Linked DNA regions of Schizosaccharomyces pombe. The protein of the gene in region 1 binds, or shares a complex with, the protein of each later gene. Each region holds a gene or a part of one and is shown in the gene's direction. Other genes may lie near its edges. The genes, in order: phf2 and lsd2.

The links.
Region 2: phf2 (region 1) and lsd2 share a complex: the UniProt entries of both Schizosaccharomyces pombe proteins name them as parts of the SWM histone demethylase complex.

What each region holds. Positions count from the first base shown.
Region 1 is NC_003424.3:1,102,892-1,107,306, forward strand, and holds phf2 (Lsd1/2 complex PHD finger domain-containing protein Phf2), read left to right. Parts: upstream 1-1,876; 5' UTR 1,877-1,972; coding exon 1,973-3,312; intron 3,313-3,361; coding exon 3,362-3,638; 3' UTR 3,639-3,717; downstream 3,718-4,415. Other genes in the region: protein Cwf19, read right to left, coding at 1-856; nth1 (DNA endonuclease III), read right to left, coding at 3,882-4,415. UniProt on the Schizosaccharomyces pombe protein: Component of the SWM histone demethylase complex that specifically demethylates H3K9me2, a specific tag for epigenetic transcriptional activation, thereby acting as a corepressor.
Region 2 is NC_003424.3:444,864-451,471, forward strand, and holds lsd2 (putative histone demethylase SWIRM2), read left to right. Parts: upstream 1-1,906; coding exon 1,907-4,378; intron 4,379-4,431; coding exon 4,432-5,667; 3' UTR 5,668-5,863; downstream 5,864-6,608. Other genes in the region: Fe-sensing transcription factor Fep1, read left to right, coding at 1-400; meiosis specific arrestin family membrane adaptor Ste7, read right to left, coding at 6,347-6,608. UniProt on the Schizosaccharomyces pombe protein: Catalytic component of the SWM histone demethylase complex that specifically demethylates H3K9me2, a specific tag for epigenetic transcriptional activation, thereby acting as a corepressor.

The sequences.
Region 1 (4,415 bases):
CACGTAACAAATCAGCTTTTAATCTATTCAAATCGCTTTCAGTGGGAGTATCTTTATTTACAGAAGGGTCAGGTATTACTTTGTAGTATGTAGCGCCATTACCAGAATCTTTTCTAGTCTTAAATTCATCAGCACATCGTTTTTCATATAATTCGCCAGTAGGAACTTCTTTCTGAACTTTTCGAGTTCGTTTTCGAAGCTCTAACTCATCTCTTTCTTCCAAGGCAAAATCAAATTCTTTCAATGAACCATAACGTTCCAGAGCTACTTCTTCAACGGGGCGTCGTTGGTCTTGAGCCATGTCAAATACGCGTTTGAGCTTCATCATACGCCATCGAGAGCCATTATCACCAATTTTGTAATTAATTCCTGACTCATTAATTTCGGTTTCAAGCTGTTCTATATCTTTATGTTCTGTACTCGTCGAACTCTCATTCTGTAATGTTGCACCAACAAAAATTTCACCAGGCTTATTGGACTTTCGGTCAATAGGTTCTCTTTGTATACGCGAACCGAACGTACCAAAATCCAAACCTTGCAATGAATTAGTAAAGTCATTATTCTGTGGATTGTCTTTGGAGGATGGCATGGAAGAAGCAGAAGCGAATTTGGAGTCAAAGTATTCATTTTCAACAGGAAGTTTCTTTACCTCCAATGGCTCTTTACTAAATCTTTCATGCCTACTTCGGTCACCTGCTTCTCTAGAGCTTGGCCTTTCACTGCGATCATGTCGTCCATGCTTGCTCTCACGATGCCTAGAGTGGTGGTGACGATGCCTTCTAGAGTGATTTGTTTCTCTGTCAGTTTCATTGAATTTGTGAGTACTGGTCCTATTTGTAAGCTTTTCCTTTTCCATAATGGACGTTATTTTAATATTAATTCATGAAATAAATAATTTTTAACAATAATTAGAGGCAAAATGGTGGGAAAAAGGAAATAATGTTTTTATTGTAACTTAACGATGGTAGTAGTACATTCGTTAAGTCAAGTGGTTCAGGCACTATGCAGATCTAAACAAGCAACGCAAATGATAGTTTTGCCAGGAGTTTAGTTTAGACAATGATCAGAATTCTCTTTTAAATTAAAAAAAATTGTAAAATATTGCGTTGAAATGGAAAGAAAAGAAAGTGAAACAATTAAGTTTGAAAGAAGGAGTATCGGCCTTTGCAGTATTCCACATTGACAGTGAAAGGCGATACAATAACTTTAGGATTCCAAAATATATACCACTAACTTCAAACAAAAACCTTTTAAATAACGCAAGGACTTTAGTAGTACTAAATTACCCATTGTTTATTTGAACTTCATTACAAATAAGTTGGAAAGAATAATAAAATACCTCGCGCTAACTACTGTATAGTGTGTCTTGCGCTAGTGTACAATGAGTTTATGATACTAGCAAAGCTACACAACAGCCACAGAAAAAAAAGCATTGTTTGTTTCCAAACTGTGACGATTTTTTATACCTGTATTTCCAGTGTAATTGGATCATTGCAATTATATTTTCTTTAGCAAAGTACTAAAGAAGTCTGTTTATCGCCTTTAATAGCATACAAGTTCAATCAATTATAGCTGTTAGGCCATCTAGGAAATATAAACAAAGGAAAGACCAAATTTTCATTCATATTTATAGCTATGACTAGTTAATGCATGAATAATTAAATTTAACAAAATTAAAAATAAAAAAGCTCTAATAAATGTGAGATTTCAGCTCTTCATGGATACGTGCAGTATTTATATATGACTAGACAGTGAGTTGTAGTGAGAAGTGAATAAGCGAGATATAGTGATGATCAATCTCATTTCGCTAGCAAAACATAATTGGAGTAACAGCAGCAAACGATTTATAAGTTGCGTTAAATCTCACCTAAATTCCAAACACGCGTGTTGAACTTACACATTCGCATTTTTTGCCATTTGCTTCATTTTTTCATTTGTTTTTTACATGAGCATATGAATGATTTAAAACCTAATGCCGAATTCATCGTACTATGACGACGATGGCGGTTCTTTTGAAGCGGCATCATATCCTTTTCAATTCGACGGTAGTCGTCGATTTCCCAATGATTTGCATCCAACGATGTTTGAGGGGGAGGAATCTAATCAAAATGGAGGCTCTGTGCTAATAGATCAAGCCTTTCAGGATATACAAAATCCTAACGTGAATTCAAACATGCATTTGGAAAATCAGTTCCAACACTTTCACGAGCCAAACAAGGAGTCAGGTGCTTTCGGTTCGTACAAAAATGATGATGTTGCTAAAGAAATAGAATCTAGTAAAAATCAGGAAACCGATGCAAAAAGCGAACAGGCACCTTTCACTGAAGACGCATCTTCATCTAATTATGCGCATCATAGAAGTGCTGATTCCCAAACAAAATCTGCGTTACCCCCAAATGTTCCTGCAAGTTCATCGCCATTACCTCCTATGTCAATTGCTATGAACATTGCTCGGAAAAGATCATGGCCTGCCAGTTTGGCTATTGAACGTGACAACACCGCTGACGCCCTCTTTTCTACTGAAGATGGTAGGGAAGAGCAATTTAATTTGGAAGGTGTCAAAACAAAATCAGGAAGAAAAGTGCATCGCCCTAATCATTTCGATCCCCTTGTAAAATTACCTACTAGACGACGTGGCCCAGGTCGTCGACCTGTGGTCGCATTAGCTATGAAATGTTCGGTTTGTCAACGACTTCAATCTCCACCAAAAAATCGCATCGTTTTCTGTGATGGTTGTAACACTCCATTCCATCAACTTTGTCATGAACCCTATATTTCTGATGAACTTTTAGATTCCCCCAATGGAGAATGGTTTTGTGATGATTGCATTAGGAGAAAAAAGCAAGCGCCTCTCGTAACTGGAACTACGGCACGAGAACTAAATCTGTCTTCGGAAGAGAAAAAGTCTTATCTTTTAAGTCTTCCGATCTCCCAACTGGTTGACATCCTATTATTCTGTGAGCAATTACATCCCGACATCCCGTTCTATAGTCCTAAAACTTCCACTATTGTCCAAGAGCTCCAAAGCAAAAGGTCTGCCTTTACAGCTACTATGAATGAACCTGTAACGGGAGATCAGTATCTAAGTCTAAATAATGGAACAGAATCACAATCGAAAACAACCAAGCATTCGACGTCCTTACCTTCGACCGAACCAGTTGAAGTGGATAAGCAATACATGGAGAGTGAAAAAATTCCTACCATAGATGAATACTTACAAGAATATAGCAATGAAGATGAAATAGTTTTACAAGTTTTAGAATCTTTCCCTGCTGCTGTTTCTTTTTCTACTATCACTAACACTATTCAAGCGTAAGTTTTCTATATATTTTCCTGACATCGTCAATTACTAATATTCTAGTAAATACTCGAATAGAAAAATTAAAAATTCGAACATAACTCGAAGCTTAAACAGACTGGTCCGTAAAAACCGTGTTTTACGTGATGCGAGGGGTAGCAGCTATGAACTGAACAGAACGTTTGATGCCGATCGACCATCAGTGCGCCCTGACATATCTATAACCGGCCCCATTCCTATCGATTGGATGCTGTATACGCCTCACACAGAGGATTTAACCGAAAACTTTTGTACTTATTATATGTTCGACGAAACTCCAATTGTTCTTAGTAGTATTTAACGAGTATCTTACATTCTGCATTGTTTGTTGAAGGGTATAACAACATTAATGATTTCAATTTATTCCAAGATTTAAAAAAATTATTAAAAAGTAAAGGTAGAGGATATTATAACTATACAGTCAGTAGCAAAAGGTTCTTGAATATGTTTAAAGACGGAGTTGTAAAGAATAAATAATTTTGAGTAATTCATGTAAATAAATAACAGATTTATGTTGTCCAAAATTTACGGTCCTAAAAATAAATTAAACCAGATCTTCAATATCTTGTAAACTTTGTTGGGAGAAATACTGGGATGATTTTTTTGCAACTCGCTTTGACCTGCGCAGTGACCTAGTTTCTTTTGTAGTTGAATGGAATGCGACAGGTGGCTTCTGATCTACATCAATATCAGCGGCTGGTTCTTTTTTCAAAGGTTCATTCATGTGTGATATACTATCAACAGGGTCCAAGTCCTCAAGTTTTATAAGTGATTTATCTTCGATGCTTTGGTAATACAAATCATCTGTAGGAAGGGAGAGTGGAGATAGAGGAGGTGACTCAGAAGCAGGTCTTTTTTTGACTCTTTTAATCGTTTTGACTTTTCTCTTAGTTATTGTGATGCCACTTTTTTCTTTAAAGGCGCTAGGACACAAGCCCTTAGAAGATAAAGTACACATATCACAGCGCCTTCCTCTTGGTAAACAGATTGTTTGCCCAAAACCGACAAGTGTATGGTTCAGCTCAAACCATAATTCCTTAGGCAGCCAGCTTTGCAAAGCAGCTCTAGTCTGTTCTTC
Region 2 (6,608 bases), 660 kb from region 1:
AAAGCCAAGGATTGCTGAAGGAATTGCTTCCTTACTTAACCCCGAAGAGCCACCCTCAAATTCCGACAAGCAGCCATCAATGTCAAATGGACCGAAATCAGAAGTTTCACCTTCGCAATCTCAGCAAGCTCCTTTAATCCAATCCTCTACCTCGCCGGTTTCTTTGCAGTTTCCTCCTGAAGTTCAGGGATCAAATGTAGATAAACGCAATTATGCTTTGAATGTTCTTTCGCAATTGCGTTCTCAGCATGATTTAATGATTCAGGAGTTGCACAATTTAAATCAGCACATTCAACAAATAGATGAATGGCTGAGGTCCTCTGACAATGAAAATATGGCTTCTGAACATATTAAATCCTCAACCCCTGCTGTTGTTGCATCTGGAGCTCTTCAAACATAAACTTGATTGGCATGTTTGTCGTGCGGCATATTTATTTATGGTAAACAAATTAGATATTATCCCGTTTAGCTGTCTATTACTTACAAGCATGACATTGTATACTATGAGTTTAGGGTAAAATACTTCACATGATTCTTATTGGTCTTTTGTTTTGCGTTAGTTTTGGTATTGGCCAAGTCCGTCTGCGGTGTTATATTCGTTAAGAGCTGGAAAATAATATTCAGTCCTTAGCGATTTACCGTTAAATTTAGAGTTAACATATATGTTTTTAATGAAATCCTATGTGGAGCATTTTTTATGATATTAATACGCATCGAAAAAGCAGATATTGAGAAAAAATAATACTACCGGATTTATATGGTATGTAGATAGTTAATATATTAAATATATTTAAACTGCCCGAGTGCAAACTCATTTGGAAATTGTCAATTCATTAATATATTTTTACAATTTTTCGGGGGAAAAAACATTTGTATACAACTATTTAAAACGGAAAATGGAGTTGCTTGTAAAAAGCAGTATCCATGGTTAATTAGTTCATTCGCAAAAAGTCATTGCTTGACTTTTAAAACTATATGATTAGGCTGAAATTTTAATTGTTCATTACAGCACATATATAAAAAACTTACACTTAATTTTCAGCTCAAATAACTTCGCTATTCATTATTTAATCTATTTAAATCAATAATAATGTAATTATGATATATATCATTTAGTTTTTCTGTTAACAACCAACAGTCCCGTGTTCTAGTGGTATGATTTCTCCTTCACACGGAGAAGGTCCCGGGTTCGATCCCCGGCGGGACTAGACTTTTTGTAAAATTCAACAATAGCGAACTTGAACCATAATGAGATGTTTTAGTATAATATTGATAAACAGTTAATCTACACTACTACTCTAAACATCCTAAGCTTTTCTGAATCTTAACAGCAATGTAACATATTTTTGGATTGTTATAATAATTTACTCCATTTGTTCTATTCTCCGCTGACTATACTTTCAAGTGTATTGTAATATTGTTTTCTGCAAGTTGAAATCAACGAGTTTAGGTAGTAGTCTTTAGCATGAAAGAGCTAACACATTAATGCAATAATTTGGAAAATGAATACAAATTAATGAACTTCACATTTTTCGTTCATCATTTCCAAAGTGTTAAGCCTGTAGAAGAGAGCAAATGCGATCGTAGAATAATACTCGCAATATGAATCAGATAAATAGGCAATTGAATGCCTCTCGGGCGTTCTTCATGGTATTCAAATAATTAAAGACACATGTATTATCTAAAAGAAAAATATAAATTCTGGATAGTCTGATAGATGATTGATTGGACTTGACATAAAAATGCTTATAATATTTGTCGTTATCCCATTATGCTATAATATTTAGAACGATATTTTTTTAACGAATCGTTAAGGATATGTTGCGCAAAGTACTTTGTAAACACCAAATCGAGATTCAATGAGATTTTACCACCTCGGTTCACTTTGATTGTATCTTTTTACTCTATGAACACGAGCGAGAATGATCCAGATGGTCATTATGACTTTCCAGAAATGACAGAGCATCATTCTGACCGGGCTTCATCATATGCTAACGCCAACAACGTTAATTCAACTCAACCTCAATTGGTGAGTAGTGAACAAGCGCTTTTAGCTATTTTAGGAGGTGGATTACAGTCTATCACACCTAATTCTGTTAATCAGAACGCGTATTCAAGGTCAACTTATCGTACAGATGGCGGCTTAAATTCACAGCCAGTTAGCTCACTGAACAATCAATGGGGAAACTATAATCCAGCATTTTTACCTTCTAGATATGATTCCTCTTTTCACCCTTACACAATTTCGCAAGCGGCTAATCAACCATTTCCTCAGCATCTTTTAGGCAATTCAAATGCAGGTGTCGCTCAGCAGTCTGGAATGAGAACAATTGGATTACCTCCAACTGTAGGTTCCTCTTTTCCTCAACAAAAGTCATCCACATACGAAAACTTTTTTGATGCAAACTCTCCGTCTTCTCAGCAATTTCCATCTACATATCCTTCACGATCACAAAACCCGCTTTCTTCCAGTGGAGATGGTTCAACGGCAATTCATGCAGGCCCCATTCAACACCAAAACTCAAATGCCTTTTCCAATTATCCGTATCCATTAGACGCTTCTCATTTATCTTCTCAGCAACTTTTGTCGATGTATCGGGATCAAGTTTCTCATGGAGTTACCCCATCTACATTCCGCAATCATGAAAGTTTTATGCCTACACAGTTGGTATCAGCAACAGAATTATCTAAAAGTGTTGATAACGCAGTTTTGCCAATACCACCTACTACTGCACCGGCAGTTGTATCGCCTCCTGCTTCATCTTTCCCTTTAATGTCTTCAGCTGCTACATCTGGTAATATTAGTAGTCCTGCACTTTTTGATTCAGAGTTAGGTGCTAGGCCTGAAGGTTCTGTTGCAATTGAGCCGTCTAGAGTACTGCTACAATGGTCTAGTCAATCATCATCTCATACTATACCATCTGCAGGAGCCAGTATCCCTACATCTTCTTTAAAGTCGTTTTTTGAGCATGCCGCTGAAGCAGCTCGTAAATGCAATCTCGATCCGAGGGCCTTAGAAAGTTTTGAACAACACATGCTTTCTGATCGTTTACACGATCCCGTTGTATTATTTCATTATTTCCAAATTCGTAACAGCATTTGTTGGCTTTGGATTAAAAATCCTACGCATGCCATATCCAGAGTTGAAGCTCAGGGCGTATGTGTCGATCGATGTTTGTTCCAATTAGCCTCTTTAGCTTATGAATTCCTTGTAAGGTATGGATATATAAACTATGGATGCTTGTCCTTTGATTCATCCTTTACGAATGAAACTAATACTGGCACAACATCCAGTTCTGCATCGAAGCAGAAGACTATTGCTGTAGTAGGCGCTGGTCTTACTGGTTTGATATGTGCTAGACAACTTACTGGCTTATTTTCTCAGTATTCTTCATCTTTTTTGTCAAAGAATGAGCTTCCTCCTAAAGTTATTATACTTGAAGCTAAAGAAAGGACAGGAGGTCGTATTTACTCTCGAGCATTGCCTGTTTCTCATACTTCGGCTACCCAAATTAACCATCATACATCTAATTCGAATTCTATTTCTAGTAATTCCACTTCTTTAAACCCCAAGGATGTTACTGACCCGTCCCATATTCCTTCAGCAATTGATTTGGGATTTCAATTTTTATTTTCGCCTATGGACGATATTTTGCTTAACCTTTTAAATAAACAATTGGGTATTGAAGTTACAGAGATGACTGGCTCAGATTTAGTTTACGATGAGACCGATACTAAAGTATTAGACATGGTTGAGGTGAAAAAATTAAACATTTTATGGGAAAAACTTTTGGAATATGTTTCTGTTTGCTTTTTTATTAACGTTGAGGAATCTGTTCGTATTTCTTGGATATCCCAATTTCAGTTGTTTATAGATGAAATGTTCCCTGATCATTTGTCCAAATCACTCTCATTAAATGCGTCACATGAATTTTCCTTCAAAAAAACAATGCTAATACTAATTGATGAAGTTTCTTCTTATGCCAAACTCGGGAACAGTCAAAAGAAATTTCTGATATGGTGTTTTAAGGTCGCGGAATTGGACGATACTTTGTACCCTCTTAACACAGTTGATACAGACTTCTCCAAAGATATTTTGATTCCAAAAGTTGCTAGAAGAGGTCTATCTCAACTGCCATGGGCATTACAATCTTATCCATCTCCCTTAAATATTCATTATGAGAAGTTTGTATCTAAGGTAACTATTGAAAATGATAAATGTACCCTTGATTGTAAGGACAACTCTTCTTATGAGGTTGACCAAGTTGTAATTGCTTGCTCTCCTTCTCATTTTTCTTCAAATATAGAGTTTTCACCAGGTCTTCCTAATTTCGTGACTGAAAACATAAAAAGTATAGATTTCAAACCCGGAAAAAAGGTAGGTTTTTATTTATTTATTTTTTTTTCAATTATAAAGTTAACATTGAGCAGGTTATTCTTCGTTATGCAGCTGCTTTTTGGCGAAAGAACATTAGATCATTTGGTATTATACCAAAATCATTAAGTCAAGAAATGAACAATGATGAGAATGATGGTAAATCTTGTTTTGTTTTGAGAATATGGAATATGCTTCCTGAAACTGGTGTCCCAATATTAGTAGCGGATATCAATCCACAAATGACAAGTTCTTCTTCTAACGAGACCTCCCACTTAATTCAAGAATTACACAGTCTAATAGTAGATCATTTTCAAAATGATTCAAACAGCTCAGCTGATTTATTAGATGCTTGGGTCACAAACTGGTCGAGAAATGGTGTCTATGACGGCTTAAATTCTTATCCAAATTTTGCCAATGATAAGCAGCAATATGAAAAAAGATTTAGGCAAAGTCAGTTATCGTATAATTTGGGTCGCTTGCATATTGCTGGAGACTATATATTCAGTTGCGTAGGCTGTAGGACATTACAAAGATCCTTTTTATCTGGCCTTTCCGTATGTACAGGGATTATTGATTCATTGGCTCCAATTTCCTTAACCATACCTATCATTGGAGAAACCTCTCGCAAAGAATTGGATCAGTTTTTGCGAAACTCTAAAGTTAATAATTTTGATCCCAATGCTGAAGCACAGCGTCACCTTTCTTATCAGGCAAGATATAGGTTGAAAAAGCAGGAAAGACTTGACGAGCATAAGGAAGAACAGGAACAGCTTGTAACTGAACTTCTTGGTTATTTACCTGAACCTCCTTCCAAGCCGAATGCAAATCCCTTTTTACTTTACCAAAAAATGCAGTGGCATGTATGCCGTGCACTTGCTGATGAAGACAAGCGAAGGTTAACAGGAGATAGTACAGCGAAGGCTACTATTAATGAAACACGTGCCAAACTAGGGAAAACTTGGCGCCAGCTTGATGATTTAGGTAAAAAACCTTGGATTGATGAAATTGCAGCACAAAGAGAAGCTTATGCTGGAAAAATTCTTCGTTATCAGCGCCTAACTAAAGAATATGAAATGAGAGCCGAGCAAATACGAAATGATTATGCGGCCAAATGCCAAGATGAACCTATTCCCGATGATGAAGCAAGATTGTTTATGCAAGCTCAACGAGAAGAAGAGCAAAGAAAACAAACTCAGGATGACAACATTTCCAAAAGTCGAGAGGCTAGCGACGAAGAGTATCATGACGATGGATCTTCTGATTCGGGTTATAATGGAACACGATATTAAAAGAAAAAAAATCAAATCACATATTGTTTTTTAAAAGTTTAGTTACTTCGCATCATTACAAATACCCTTAAAATTTTATGTACATATATATTCTCGTCATGCCCTAAATGAAGCATTTTATCAAATTGCTAATTTCAGCAAATTGTTTAAGGAAAATCTAAAATACATGTACACTTCTCGTTAGCCAGTAGCCAACCTGATTTAATGCCGAAGATGTAAGAGATAAAAGATGATATCGTAAACACAGCTACTACTCTCACTCTTTAGGATGTAATGCATGTTACCATTTTGCCATTAACATAATATTCAAGCAACAAATGATATTACTAGTACGCTTGTGAAATAAATAAAAAAATAAGTTATTAGAAAAAAAGTAATTAAAATTAACTAAGAATCATTAAATTAAGCCAAAACAGATGCGGTTGTATTTGTTGCAGACACCATGGACACTATGTATCTCAAAGCAAGTACTACAACGAAATAGTTAAAAAAAAAACATAAGATGCATATGATATTAAAATAAAATAATATAAAAATGCCGAGTTATTGACTCCAGTCCATATTTGGACATGTATAATTAAAAGCATTATCCAAAAGTTAATAGGAGATGGCATCTCAATTGTCAAAAAAAAAGTGGTTGTTATAAAGACTCGTAATTCAGGAAGTCTGTTATAAATAATTAAAGAGACTGTAAGACTTCATTGATAAGAACATCGAATTCTTTAGCATACGCCATGTTCAAAGCGTGTGGATCTTGTAGCATATTGTCGTCAGGCAAAGGGGAGCTAAGACTTGAATCTGAACAGTATGATACGGAATTAGATCGTTCATAACCCATTGGCAAAGTAGCTAGATACAGAGCATTGGATGAACTTCTTCTGGAAGGCGATACGGCACAGTGATTATTATGAACTTGATCTTCAGCAGTAGGCAAGCTTTCA